Macaca mulatta: one gene and its partners. The protein of the gene in region 2 purifies or fractionates together with the protein of the main gene of each other region. This does not show direct contact. Links are inferred from orthologs where the notes say so. Each region holds a gene or a part of one and is shown on either strand. Other genes may lie near its edges.

Region 1 (3,645 bases), on a different chromosome or scaffold from region 2:
GGCTGGGTAGAGGGAGGAGCCTGGCTCTATCTCCTATAGGGATGCTTTGGGGATTACTGTGGAGGGTATCAGGCTGTGCTGGGCCATGGGGGTGGTGCCCAGGGAGTTAGGGTATACCCCTGGCACCCAGATCCCTCTAGCAGAGGCTGTGGTGACTCCAACCAAACCCCCAGGTCTGGGGAAAGGTGCTACTGGCTTTGCACATGGGCAGCCCTGGGGACAGGCCTGGCTCTCCAGCAGAAGCAGCAGTTGGGGGAGCCTCCGAGGGAGTTGTAAGTGCTTGTATTACAGCAGCCTGCTCACCAGGACGTGTGTGAAGACCTGGGATGAGGCTGGCTCTGCCACTGCACAGAAAGGGCGCACTCACGTGTGGGGTGGGGATGAAGGATCCTGTAGACAACCCCAAGTTCTCCATGTTGGAGGGATGGGAGCTGGTGTAAGCCCCGGTTCCCTAAAGGATTTGGGCCAAGGACAAGGGGGAAAGGGAAAGCAACAGAGTCTATGGTGAAAGAGTTGGGAGCATGGGCTTTAGTGGGAGGCAGCCCTGGGGCTCTGCCTCCATTTTCCAGTTTCCTATTTATTAGCTATGACTTTGGATAAGAGATGTCATCTCTAAGCCTCAATTTCCTCATCTGTGAGAAAAGGACTTAAGATATTGACCTCACAGGATAGCTGTGTGGTTTAAACAGATAATGTGAGTCACGCTCAGCACTGTGTCTGGAACTTGGAAATCAGATCAGTGGGCAGTAACTTTGGGAGTTTTTTAAATTTTTTGAGATGAGAGTCTCGCTCTGTTGCCCAGGCTGGAGTGCAGTGGTGCAATCTCAGCTCACTGCAAGCTCTGCCTCCCGGGTTCAAGCGATTCTCCTGCCTTGGCCTCCTAAGTAGCTTGGATTACAGGCAACTGCCACCACGCCCAGCTAATTTCTGTATTTTTAGTAGAGACAGGGTTTTACCATATCGGCCAGGCTTGTCTCGAACTCCTGACCTTGTGATCCACCCGCCACAGCCTCCCAAAGTGTTGGGATTACAGGCATGAGCCACTGCGCCCGGCCCGTGAGTTATTTATTTGTTTTGTGTATTATCTGTCTCAACCCCACTAGAAAGTCAGCTCCATGAAGGCAGCGATGTTTGTCTACTTTGTTCACTGTGGTCTCCAAAGTGTCTAGAACAGAGCTTTGGGCCTGGGTGGCCCTCAGCAAATAGTAACAGAATGAGTGAACAAAGACAGGGAGTGAGGGCTCTGAAACGCAAACTCACAGTGGCACGCGCAGTTGAGAACTGTTCAATGGCTTCCACTCGCACTTGAAGGGATGACGTCTCTTAACGAGGCCTACGCCAGACCTTGCCTGATCTGGCCCCCGCGCACCTCTCTGGATTCCCCTTGAACCAGGCTCACTTCTGAGCAGCTTGAAATTGCTCCAATGTGCCGTGCTGCCTCTGGGACCCTCCGCCTCAGCCCAGTCACACACACCCAGGGAATTCCTAGTTCCCCTTAAGATCATAGCTCAACTGTCACCTTGTGGGGAAAGTCCTCCAAGCACCCTTCATCCACGCTCACAGCAATCCCGTTCCTCCCTAGCACTAATCTCAGAGGAATTAAACATGCATTCGTGTTATCGTTACGTCTTCCACCTCCAACAGACCAAACATTTTGTATGGGGAGCGACAGTACTGGTCTGGGCCCCCAGTGAAGCGCCAGCACCTTGCCCAGGGCCTGCCCACAGATTTGCTGAGTGGATTGTCACAGAGCCTGGCTGTACTGAGCTTGGAGGCCCACTGCCTGGCACACACACATACCACTGAGCACGTCAGGACTGATGTAGGCAGGGCTGCCCCTCTGGTCCTTCAGAAGGTCCCCCTCGCTCACCAGATGCTTCCCGAGGCAGAAGTTGGTGATGGTTATCCGATGTGTCCTAGGAATGGGAGACAGAGAGTGAACAAACCTCAGTGTCTATAGCAACGGGCACAAGACACATAGGCAGGGCACACCTCACTGGGCCAGTCCCTGATCCTGAACAGCAGGAGGTGGGCTTCTCGCCAGAGGGCGAAACAGCTGCCCCAACCCCCTCTCCAGGGAGCAGAGGAATCAGGCCCCAGACTTTTCTGGCCACCAGCCGAGCTGTCCCAGCAGGGATTGGCTTCTCTCCCAGGTCCTGAGTGTTGCACAGGCCATCCCCGGACCTACTGCCCTGGATGAATCTCGGGGTATAAAATAGGGCTTAGAACAACTTTCAGAGATTTCCCAAAAACAGCCTCGTGTCATATTCTAGACTGGGAGTGACCAGAGATTTAGTTCAATTTTCTCATTCACACATGAGGAAAAGGAAGGCCGGCAGAGATGAGTGACTCCACCTTGGGAGGTGACCCCAGGGTGGCCCCAGCTGCCCCCACACCACGGAGTCTGTCAGGTCACTGTCTCACTTGGCCCCACAACCACTGCAGAGGAAGAAACTGACAGTGGCCAGTGAGGGGGATTTTCTCACCGTCCGGTTTCAGATGATACAACAAAGGCACAGGGAAGTGAAAGGACTTGGCCAAGGTCATGCAGCTGGTGAGCAGAACAGCAGGATCCAAGCCCAGGTCTGCGAGGTCCCAGAGCTGCGCACACAACTGACAGCTTCCTCATGCCCAGATGTGTCCCTGGGCAGGGCCCCAGGCCCTGAATGACTTTTCCTTCTGTTCCATCAAAACTGACTCATCCCTTACCTTGTACTTGTGATTCTGCCCTGGCTAGATCACAGACTCTCCCTCTGAAAGGCATGGGGCAGAGCAGCTTTGGGCTCTGATCCTTTGGAGAAAACTCACATGTGGACAAAAGGAAGTGCCCTGAGAGGACCTTGCACCACACCGTAGGCTGGGAGAGGGGGCAGGCCCTGTCTAAGAGGCCTGGGAAAGGCTTCCTGGCCCACGGGGGCAGGCAACGAGGAAGGGTGCCTCTCTGCCCGACTGCCCTGCTGCTGTGTCGGCTGGCTGGGTGGAAAAGCTAGGGGGAAAAGCTGGGAGGACAGGAGGAAGGAAAGCTCCATGGGGGCCTTGGGCTGCCTCTCACTACCATCAACTCTCAGAGCTCTCAGAGGCACAGCGCATGCGTGGCTGCCGGTGGATTTCCCCAGGAGCTGCGTCCAGGAGGTTCTGAGAGCCCTCAGCAATCTTGGGGAATTCTGCTGGCAAAGGCCTTGATGCAAAACAAAGGCCAGTCTGTCCTCTGGATTCCTCATGGAAACGCTGACTCCAGCGCCTACACAGGCCTGCCCTGTCAGCTGCCATAGGAATCTGACTGGTGACCCACGGGCGGCTAGAGCCTGAGTGCACAGGTGAAGGGTCACTGTGCAGGGTCACGTGCACGTCAAGGAGTGGACTGCTCTAGCTCTGAAGCTCCAGTGCCGCTGCCCTGAATATAGGACTGCTCAGGCCTCTTGTCCAGAAGGTTCCCACAGAGCAGAGGCACTCCTGGTCAGAGATGGCTGCGGAAGCTGCAAATGTATCCTGTGGGTCTCTGAGGCTCAAGACGCTGGGAGGAGGACAGCTCAGGAGACAGTACGGTGGGTTTGGGAGTCAGGTTCCTAGTCCTGGCTCTGCCACATCCTTGATGTGTGAATCTCTTGCTAAACCTCCATTTCCTCATGTGTACAACAGTGAAAT
Region 2 (4,347 bases):
CCAATAATGAACCCAATAGATTAGTTAATGCTATGAGAAGACTAAGGAGAAAGAGAAAAGAGACACAGACCCAGGCCTGGCTCAACATGCTACTAACTACCAGCTCTCTGAAGTGTCACTGGGAACAATACACACTCCATGCGTTTTGCTACATCTCCGGAAGAGGTAAGGACTTGAGTCCACACATGGATGCTTTCAAGTCCTTGAGGCCCACAGCCTGGTGTGTTTCACGCACAGATAAGGTCCTCCCTAGGTCTACAGGAACCCTCTAGGGAAGACGTGTTTCTCCTCTCTGTAATGCACCAGCTCGGGCAGTGGCACTTGTGGGTGCCGGCTGCCTCCCTTCCCTGCCCGCTCACAGGGCCAGCAGCGTGGGTGAGCTGAGCGAGTCAGAGGAGGGCTCATTGCTGCTGCTGCCCTTGCGGTGGGCAGCTGCGCAGCTGGGGAAGGAGTCAGCCTCGGGGTAGGTGAAGACGAAGGAAGACGTGTAAGCAGTGCAGCTGGGAGTACAGGTGACCACCGGAGTGCACAGGGGCTCCAGCTCTGTGGCCATGGGCCCCATCCCCAGGGAGCCACTGTGCAGGGGCTCCCAGTCTGCTGCATAGAAGGACCCAGATAGGTCCATGTCTGGTACAGAGCGGGCTGTCTCAGAGCCGCTGGGCCTGGATGATGCTGGGAACAGGAAGTCATCAAAGGGCTCAGCCTTCAGCTCCATGCTGCTGATGCTCTTGACAGGCTCCACTGAGGGCTTGGGCTCTGGGTCATTGAGGAGAGGCAGGGTGAAGGCCTCCTCAGACTCTGGGGTGGCAGCCTCTGGCAGGCCCCCAGTCAGATCAAGGGAAGCCACAGACATCTCTTCTGGAAAGCCCAGGTCATCAGGGATCTTGCAGGCAGGTCGGTGAGCTGCCAGGATGAATTCTAGTTTTTCCTTCTCCTTCAGCAGGTTGGCAATCTCGGTCTGCAAAGCAGACTTCTCATCTTCTAGTTGGTCTGTCTCCTGTATACAGAGGGAGAAAGGAAAGCATAAGAAACAGTCTTACTCAAGGGCCCTTATGCTCAATCTCCAACTTTCCCCTTAAGTTTTAAAAAGGAGCAACCCGCAAAGTCTACCTACCGCTTGGAGTGTATCAGTCAGCTCCCTCCTCCGGTTGCGGCATTTGGCTGCAGCCATCTTATTCCTTTCCCTTCGGATTCTCCTTTTCTCTTCTTCTTCTGGAGATAACTAGGATAATCACAAAAAAAAAAAAGACCGACATTCAGTAAAAGTGTCTGCCATCACCTCCATTCACCCACCCCAGTAGAACTGGCTCCTGCAGCTTCCCTACTTCCTGGCATCCCACTGTGAAACCATTTCTAACCTGCAGTTGCAGACTAGGTGTGACTTGCATTTAAAATAAGATCCTCAGCAAGAGAACAAAGAAGAGCCCAGTCTAAAAGCATGCGGTAGGAAACTTAGGGAAGAAACTATGAGAGTACTTCTTAGGGTGAGACTCAGAGTCTGAGTTGGGATGGAATGGGCTTGGAGCCAGGGTTCCCAGTTAGGGATGTGCAGCCAGCCCCGTCAGGGGCTTAATCCTCTCTGCTGTGCTCCTCCACCTCCAGGGCCGCTTCCCACCCAGCCCCCACCTTCCCAGGAAGGGTAGGCTAGAGTTCCTCACCTGTTCCACCTTACCCCTCCTGCCAGTGCTCTGCGCTCGGCTTCCTGTCATGGTCTTCACAATGCCAGCCCTGGAGTAAGCCCCAGCGGAGGGAGTGGGGACTCCGAAGGGGTGAGGGGCTCTGGTCTGCGATGGGGCCACAGAGGAGACGAGGGCCGGCTGCACAAGCCACTGCAGGTCCGGACTGGTAGAGATGGCAGTGACCGTGGGAATGAAGTTGGCACTGGAGACGGCCAGGTCCGTGCAGAAGTCCTAGAACAAAACAGAAGGGGAAAGCCGACGTGAGCGAGCAGATTCCGGACACAGGTGGGGCGAGTTGCCGGTGCCGCATGCAGTAGCGAAGAGAAACGATCCTGCCACGGACGTTTCATCTTAAATGTCCCTCATCCTGGATGAAAGGTCTCCCCCTTTTCCTCCCAGGCATTCCGCAGCGCAGTGTCTGTCTCTTCCATCCTGCCGCTGCGTTCCCGTTATCCCTTCAGCATCACTCGCTTGAAAGGGGGTTTGTTATAAATATCCCTGACGTCTGCGCTGACGCAGGCGCCGCTCCGGAGTCTCCAGAATGAACTCGCTTTTTATCAATGAAACTGCCTTACACACCCGCCCGCTGCACCCTCCTCCCTCACCCCTCCTCCCTGCTCCAGGCTGCCGGGGGAGGGGGGATTGCCGCTTTCTGCCACCTCCCCAGAGAAGCCAGGCTCTAGTTAGCGGGTCTGTGCTTGGGAGACGTCTGCCCCAGCTAATGTCAGAGATCCGTCCTGGAATGCAAACCAGACGTTGCTCAGAACGAACCTGCCTCCGGAAGGGGGAACAAATTCTTACTATGGCAAGCTTGCGTGCGCTCAGAGCCAAGTCCCGAGCCCCCGAGCCGGCACCGCTCCGGCCACTGCAGCCTCCCTCCAGGCACAAGGGAGCCCCCTACTCATCTCCTGGAGCGTCCCGCCCGGTGTCTCCTCCTCAGCGACCCCAAGCCCCCGGCCCCGCGGCGGTGGGAAGCCAGCCTTACCTGCGCGTTGACAGGCGAGCCCATGCTGGAGAAGGAATCGGCGGGTGAGTGGTAGTAGGAGAGGCTATCCCCGGCCGGGGACGCGCTGCTGCAGCGCGAGGATGACGCCTCGTAGTCTGCGTTGAAGCCCGAGAACATCATCGTGGCTGTTAGGCAAAGCCGGGCGTGGGGCCGAGGGGCGGAGACAGGTGGGCGCTGTGGAGCAGAGCTAGGTAAGAGCGCGGTCACTGCTCGTTCGCTGCGCCGCGGCCGCCGGCTCAGTCTCGGCTTCTCGGCTGCTTGCTGCAGATGCGGTTGGAGTACGAGGCGCCGCAGCCACTGCTTTTATAACAAGCGTTTTATGAATGAGTGTAAACGTCACGGGCTCAACCACGGTGGCGCCAGAGGGGTGGCGCGCGGGCCTGAGCGCCTCTGCCGCCGCGTGGCTGCCTCCCCAGCGCTCGCAGCTCCCTGCCTGTGCCTTGGCGCGTGTCCTAATCTCGTGAGCATTTCGCAGTTCCTGTCTCAGGGGTCTCGTGGGACCCTCAAGATGAGGGGCTTCGGGGATGGCTCCCCCCAGGGCTACAGGGAAAGGCCGTGGAAACCTGCTGACGCAGATGTCCTAATATGGACATCCTGTGTAAGGGGGAGGGATTGACGGGAACTGCTCGCGGGCTGCAGCCAACAACGAGGGTGCAGCGCGGGGGGAGGCGGGGGCCGCGGCCGGGGGAGGGGAGGCGGGAACGGCGCAGAATGCTAGAGAACATTCGCACCTGGTTCAATGCGGACCCTTGTTCCCGAGGTCGGGGGGGATGGGGCAGAGAGCGCCTCTTTACCCTTGTACGGAAACTGAAGACAGTTCTGAGGCTCAAGAATAGGAGAAACGGCCTCGGGTACACGGCCCCGAGGACTTAAGCCTCGGCTCCCGAAGGAATGCGTCCCTACCCCCATCCCCAATTCTAGCCCTAATTCAGTGCAAAACGAGGAAGCAGACCCTCACCCCTCTCCTCCCGGGCTCGAGCAATGCTAGCACTGTTCCTGCGTTTGGAAGCAGAAAGTGGATCCAAAATAACAGAATACGATAACCTACTTTACGATACTGGGTACTTTATTTATTTACTTATTTTTTCTTTAAGGAAGACAGCGCATTTATTTATTTATTTTTCTCGGCCATGTGTGGGAATATTAAGGAAACTGTCAAATCCCTGAGACACCAGCAGATAAACACTGTGCGACACCTACGTGCGAAGACATTTGAAGGGGGTGTCTGCCCGGTTCTGAGCTGGGCCCCGGGGGTAGGGAGTGCGGGGTGTGGTTATGTGGGCAGGGTGGTCAGTTCGGGATGACAAGGCGGGGTGTGCTTCCTGCGGGGAACTAAAATCTGAACTGGGGGGCTGGTTCGGTCCCGCCAGGAAGCTGTGCTTACGGGAGCCCGCAGCGGGTGATTTTCCAGCGCGGACTTGGAGAGGGGAGGACAGGGGCTGGAAGGACAGTGTCCAGCAGCGCCCAGGCGGAATACCTCCACCGCTGGGACCCCAGGCGCGGCTCCACGTCCTGGAACACCGGGCTTTGGGGAGGCAAGGTGCTCCAGAGTGTGCCACGCCCCCCAGCCTCCTGCCCTGCTGCGTAGGACAGCCGGGGTCACGCTGCCCGGGCTCAGCCCCAGCGCGCCGGCCACCTCCAGGGTGCGAAGACGCATGTCCC
Region 3 (3,645 bases), on a different chromosome or scaffold from region 2:
AAAAAAAAAAAAAAAAAAGTCTTTTCTATTACTTATCACCATGTGAAAATACGTGCTTTACGATTTAGTTCACAAACACACGCACACAGCAGAACTTTAGCTTGTCCACAGCCCTTAACACAACCCCTGGCACATAGCAGATGCTAATAGAAAACTACGGTTAAAACCGTAAGAGAAATTCCCATGAACCCCACCTCCCAAACAGATACAACATGGGAGACAACTCATCCTGGCTGGCTCAACCTGACACACCTTTCTCCTACTAGCAGATCCCCACCACAGTGAGTGGGATCCAGATCCAAGCTAAGTTAATCATAATCTAGCCACAAAAATTTTTTAACTGCAGTTGGAAACAAAAGCTCCTTTTTTTTCTTTTATCAAAAAACATGCATATAAACCAAGAGTGCAAATGACATTATTATCCACCATGTGATAAAGAAGTCTGTAAGAAAAGAAAATCAGAGCTGTCCCAATCAAATAGTCACAAGGGGCACAAAAGAAAGACTCTCAACAACATTCAAATCCTTAATCTCATGTACTTGTAGCATTCCAGAGAAGCCATGGTTCTAATCTTCTCAAAGTTTGGTTGTTCAACTATTCCTTTTTGTGTGTATGTGTTATTCACTCCTTTACTGTGTCAATAAATACTCCCTTTATGTTTAGCCTCAGGGTAGTATTTGCTTATGCTAAGGTGTGTGTTGCTTATATCACACTCAATTCCCAACACTTGCAATTTCACATTTTACATCTTTAACATTTACATAAAATAAATGGAATTTTACATTACATTAAATAAGATATATTTAGTACAGATCTCTTTAAATGCTCTTAGTTATGCCATACACTACTGTTGCTACCAATGGACACCTGCTGAAAGAATTTTATGTAGATAAAAATAATCTCTATTTCTCCTCCAACTCTCACATATGAATAGGGGATGATATGGCAAGAAAGATACTCATTAGAAGACAAATGACCAACAAAACTATTTCCTATGAAAATGAAACTTTTCTTTCTGAAGATTTTTAACACTCAGCTTTTGTTAATAAAAACTGGTCATTGCAAATAAGTTATAATGTATGGAAATTGTTCTTTAAGTTACTAAAAGGGGGAATCTAGCAGAAGTGACACTTTGTAGCTGTTTCTAGCTGAGTAAAAATGAGTGGATTAGTGAAGCTATCCTATCATTTTTTAGATCTTTTTCATTGCAATAAAGTTCACCATTTAAAATATTTTTTAAGGTTAGCTACCACTTACTGCTTCCAGTTGTTTCTTCTTCTGCACTAGTAACTCCAACATAAGATTGACATTGGCCAAATCAAGGTTATCTTGGTCAGTTCCCAACAAATCTTGAAATATCTGCCACCTGTGGCCATTCTAAAAATGAAGAAAGAAGAAACAACAACTTCCTAAGAAGACTGTTTTAGAGACTAAAACAAATGTTTACTTGCTACTTCCTAATATGCTCATTACATAGACACCAAAAACACACTGCAATGTTCCAAACTACTCCTTCCTAGCTAGCGGCTCCCTACTGTCTTCTAGTTATAACTTAAACACTATTTCTTCTCCCTTAAATGAATTAAGATAACAAATATAAAAGGTGCATTCGAGAATATTCTAAAGCTGTAATTTACCTTCAAAATAACTGAATTTAATTATTTGTCTAGCCATATTTTCAATTTTGCATGTAGTAAGGTATTAAGCTCATTTGCCTTGGAAATTTGGGACTAAGCCTTTAAAATTGAGAATCTTTCAAAGGTTTGTTTTTGTTTTTCTTTGAATATAGACAGACTCTCACTATGTTGCCCAAGCTAGTCTCAAATTCTTGGGCTTAAGTGATCCTTCAGCCTTGGCCTCCCAAAGTGTTAGGATTACAGGTATAAGCCCAGCCTCGACAGTTTTTTTGAAAATATCTAACCATTGTTTCACCACGCAATACAATCCTTCAAATGTCAAGTATTAAAAGACAAATGTTTCAATATAATCCTACCAGACCTTTCAAAATAGGAGCACTCTAGCAAAGTATTACAGATAATGCAGTTAAGAAAGTTATTTGACTAGAACAATCCTAACAATCTCCGTTAAGAAAAATCAATAATATATTAAACTTTAACGTCTAACTAATATTAAACCAATAAAAACAACAAAATGAAATGTATTAAAAATAGTAATAAGAGTTGAAACATACGGTGCTACTCACTGAGTGGTCCAATTTGAACCTCTTTTCCTCAAATCTTTGCTTTTGTTTAAGAATGAGTTCATTCACTGAAAACAGAAACAAAATAAAAAGCACAAATAATTTGTATTTTTGTTAAATGTATTGTGTAATTCTTCAGTTTAGATAGATTCTATTTTACCTATACACAGCCTCCAAATTAAAAACATGCTAAACAGAAAGTGTTAGCTTTTTATTTTATTTCAAATTAGAAAACAGTTGTGCTGCAGCTGCTACTACTACAACTACTATTACTATAGGAGAATTCTTCAGAATATGAATTTTCCCTTACAAGTTTCTCAATGATGACGCTACTGGCACCTGAGAGAGAAATCCTCATTCACCATATGAGACCATCACATGCCCCATATGGTAACAAGGCATGAGTAACTAAGTATCTCCTATGAGCTAGGCACTAAAGACTTGCATTTGTTCTTTCTCTTTGTAATTTTTCTAAAAATGCCATGGAAGACACTTTTAGTTACCTATCCAAAGACCATCCTACTCTTTTTCTTGATAATAACATGACTTTTTTTCCAAGTATCAGACTGCCATATAACTTTCAGAGAAGTTAGATCTCACCCCAACCCCATGTATTACTTTGACTAACCTAAGGCAATCTAGTCATTCATGCCCTTGCCAGTGGTTGACGTGGGGTTAAGTATGTAACCCAATTTTGACCAAAGAGAGATGTGCTATCTTTCAGAAAGAAAAGGATAGGAGAAAAAACCATGCCTTCATAAGGGGTATCTGAAACTGCTCAGAGCCATCTTGTAATCTCAAGAATAGCCAGCCAAAAGACTAAGGTATACGCTGGCAATGGAAGAACAGAACAACAGAAAGAACCTGATAATACCACTGAACCACTGATAACTAGCTCTAGAAATTCTTTTCCTGTGAATCGATACATTTTCCATAATGTTTAACCACTTTAAATTGGATTTTTCAATTTTTCTACAACCAACAAATATAAACTGACACAAAAAACTGATTTTTTTTTTTTTAAAGGGAAACTAGTACTAGGCTAGGTAGGCACTTTATAGACAATATCTTACAGATTATTCTCCCCAATTAGAGATGAATATTAGCACAGAGAGCATTAAGGAACTTATGCATGGTGACATATACAATGAAGTAGTACTGAGAATATAGACCCAACTGTCTGATACTTCCCACTATACCACAATGCAAGTATAAATATTTTTGAAAACACCAAACAGATACCAAGTTCATAAGGATCCAAGCTTCAAAGATACAATACAAGGCCTCAAGCAATTCAGACAAGCAAGACAGATTCATATGATACAGTACTTATAATGTGATAATCAGTACTATCATTAAAATAGATTTACAAAGTATACACACAGAGATCAATCAAAATGTTAACAAGCACACTTCATATAGAAGGCAACATTAGAAATGGGCCA

The links.
Region 1: the proteins of FOS (region 2) and STK40 purify together in Homo sapiens (affinity purification with mass spectrometry; 3 studies listed by BioGRID and IntAct, counting the BioPlex papers as one, with this or other methods). This does not show direct contact. The link is inferred for Macaca mulatta from reciprocal best matches to the Homo sapiens genes FOS and STK40.
Region 3: the proteins of FOS (region 2) and COP1 purify together in Homo sapiens (affinity purification with mass spectrometry; 4 studies listed by BioGRID and IntAct, counting the BioPlex papers as one, with this or other methods). This does not show direct contact. The link is inferred for Macaca mulatta from reciprocal best matches to the Homo sapiens genes FOS and COP1.

Annotation. Positions count from the first base shown.
Region 1 is NC_133406.1:204,444,854-204,448,498, reverse strand, and holds part of STK40 (serine/threonine-protein kinase 40), read right to left. Parts: intron 1,917-3,645; coding exon 1,801-1,916; intron 1-1,800. UniProt on the Homo sapiens protein: May be a negative regulator of NF-kappa-B and p53-mediated gene transcription.
Region 2 is NC_133412.1:148,475,594-148,479,940, reverse strand, and holds FOS (protein c-Fos), read right to left. Parts: upstream 2,806-4,347; coding exon 2,665-2,805; intron 1,911-2,664; coding exon 1,659-1,910; intron 1,223-1,658; coding exon 1,115-1,222; intron 998-1,114; coding exon 356-997; downstream 1-355. UniProt on the Homo sapiens protein: Nuclear phosphoprotein which forms a tight but non-covalently linked complex with the JUN/AP-1 transcription factor. In the heterodimer, FOS and JUN/AP-1 basic regions each seems to interact with symmetrical DNA half sites.
Region 3 is NC_133406.1:33,619,808-33,623,452, forward strand, and holds part of COP1 (E3 ubiquitin-protein ligase COP1), read right to left. Parts: intron 2,269-3,645; coding exon 2,192-2,268; intron 1,378-2,191; coding exon 1,258-1,377; intron 1-1,257. UniProt on the Homo sapiens protein: E3 ubiquitin-protein ligase that mediates ubiquitination and subsequent proteasomal degradation of target proteins.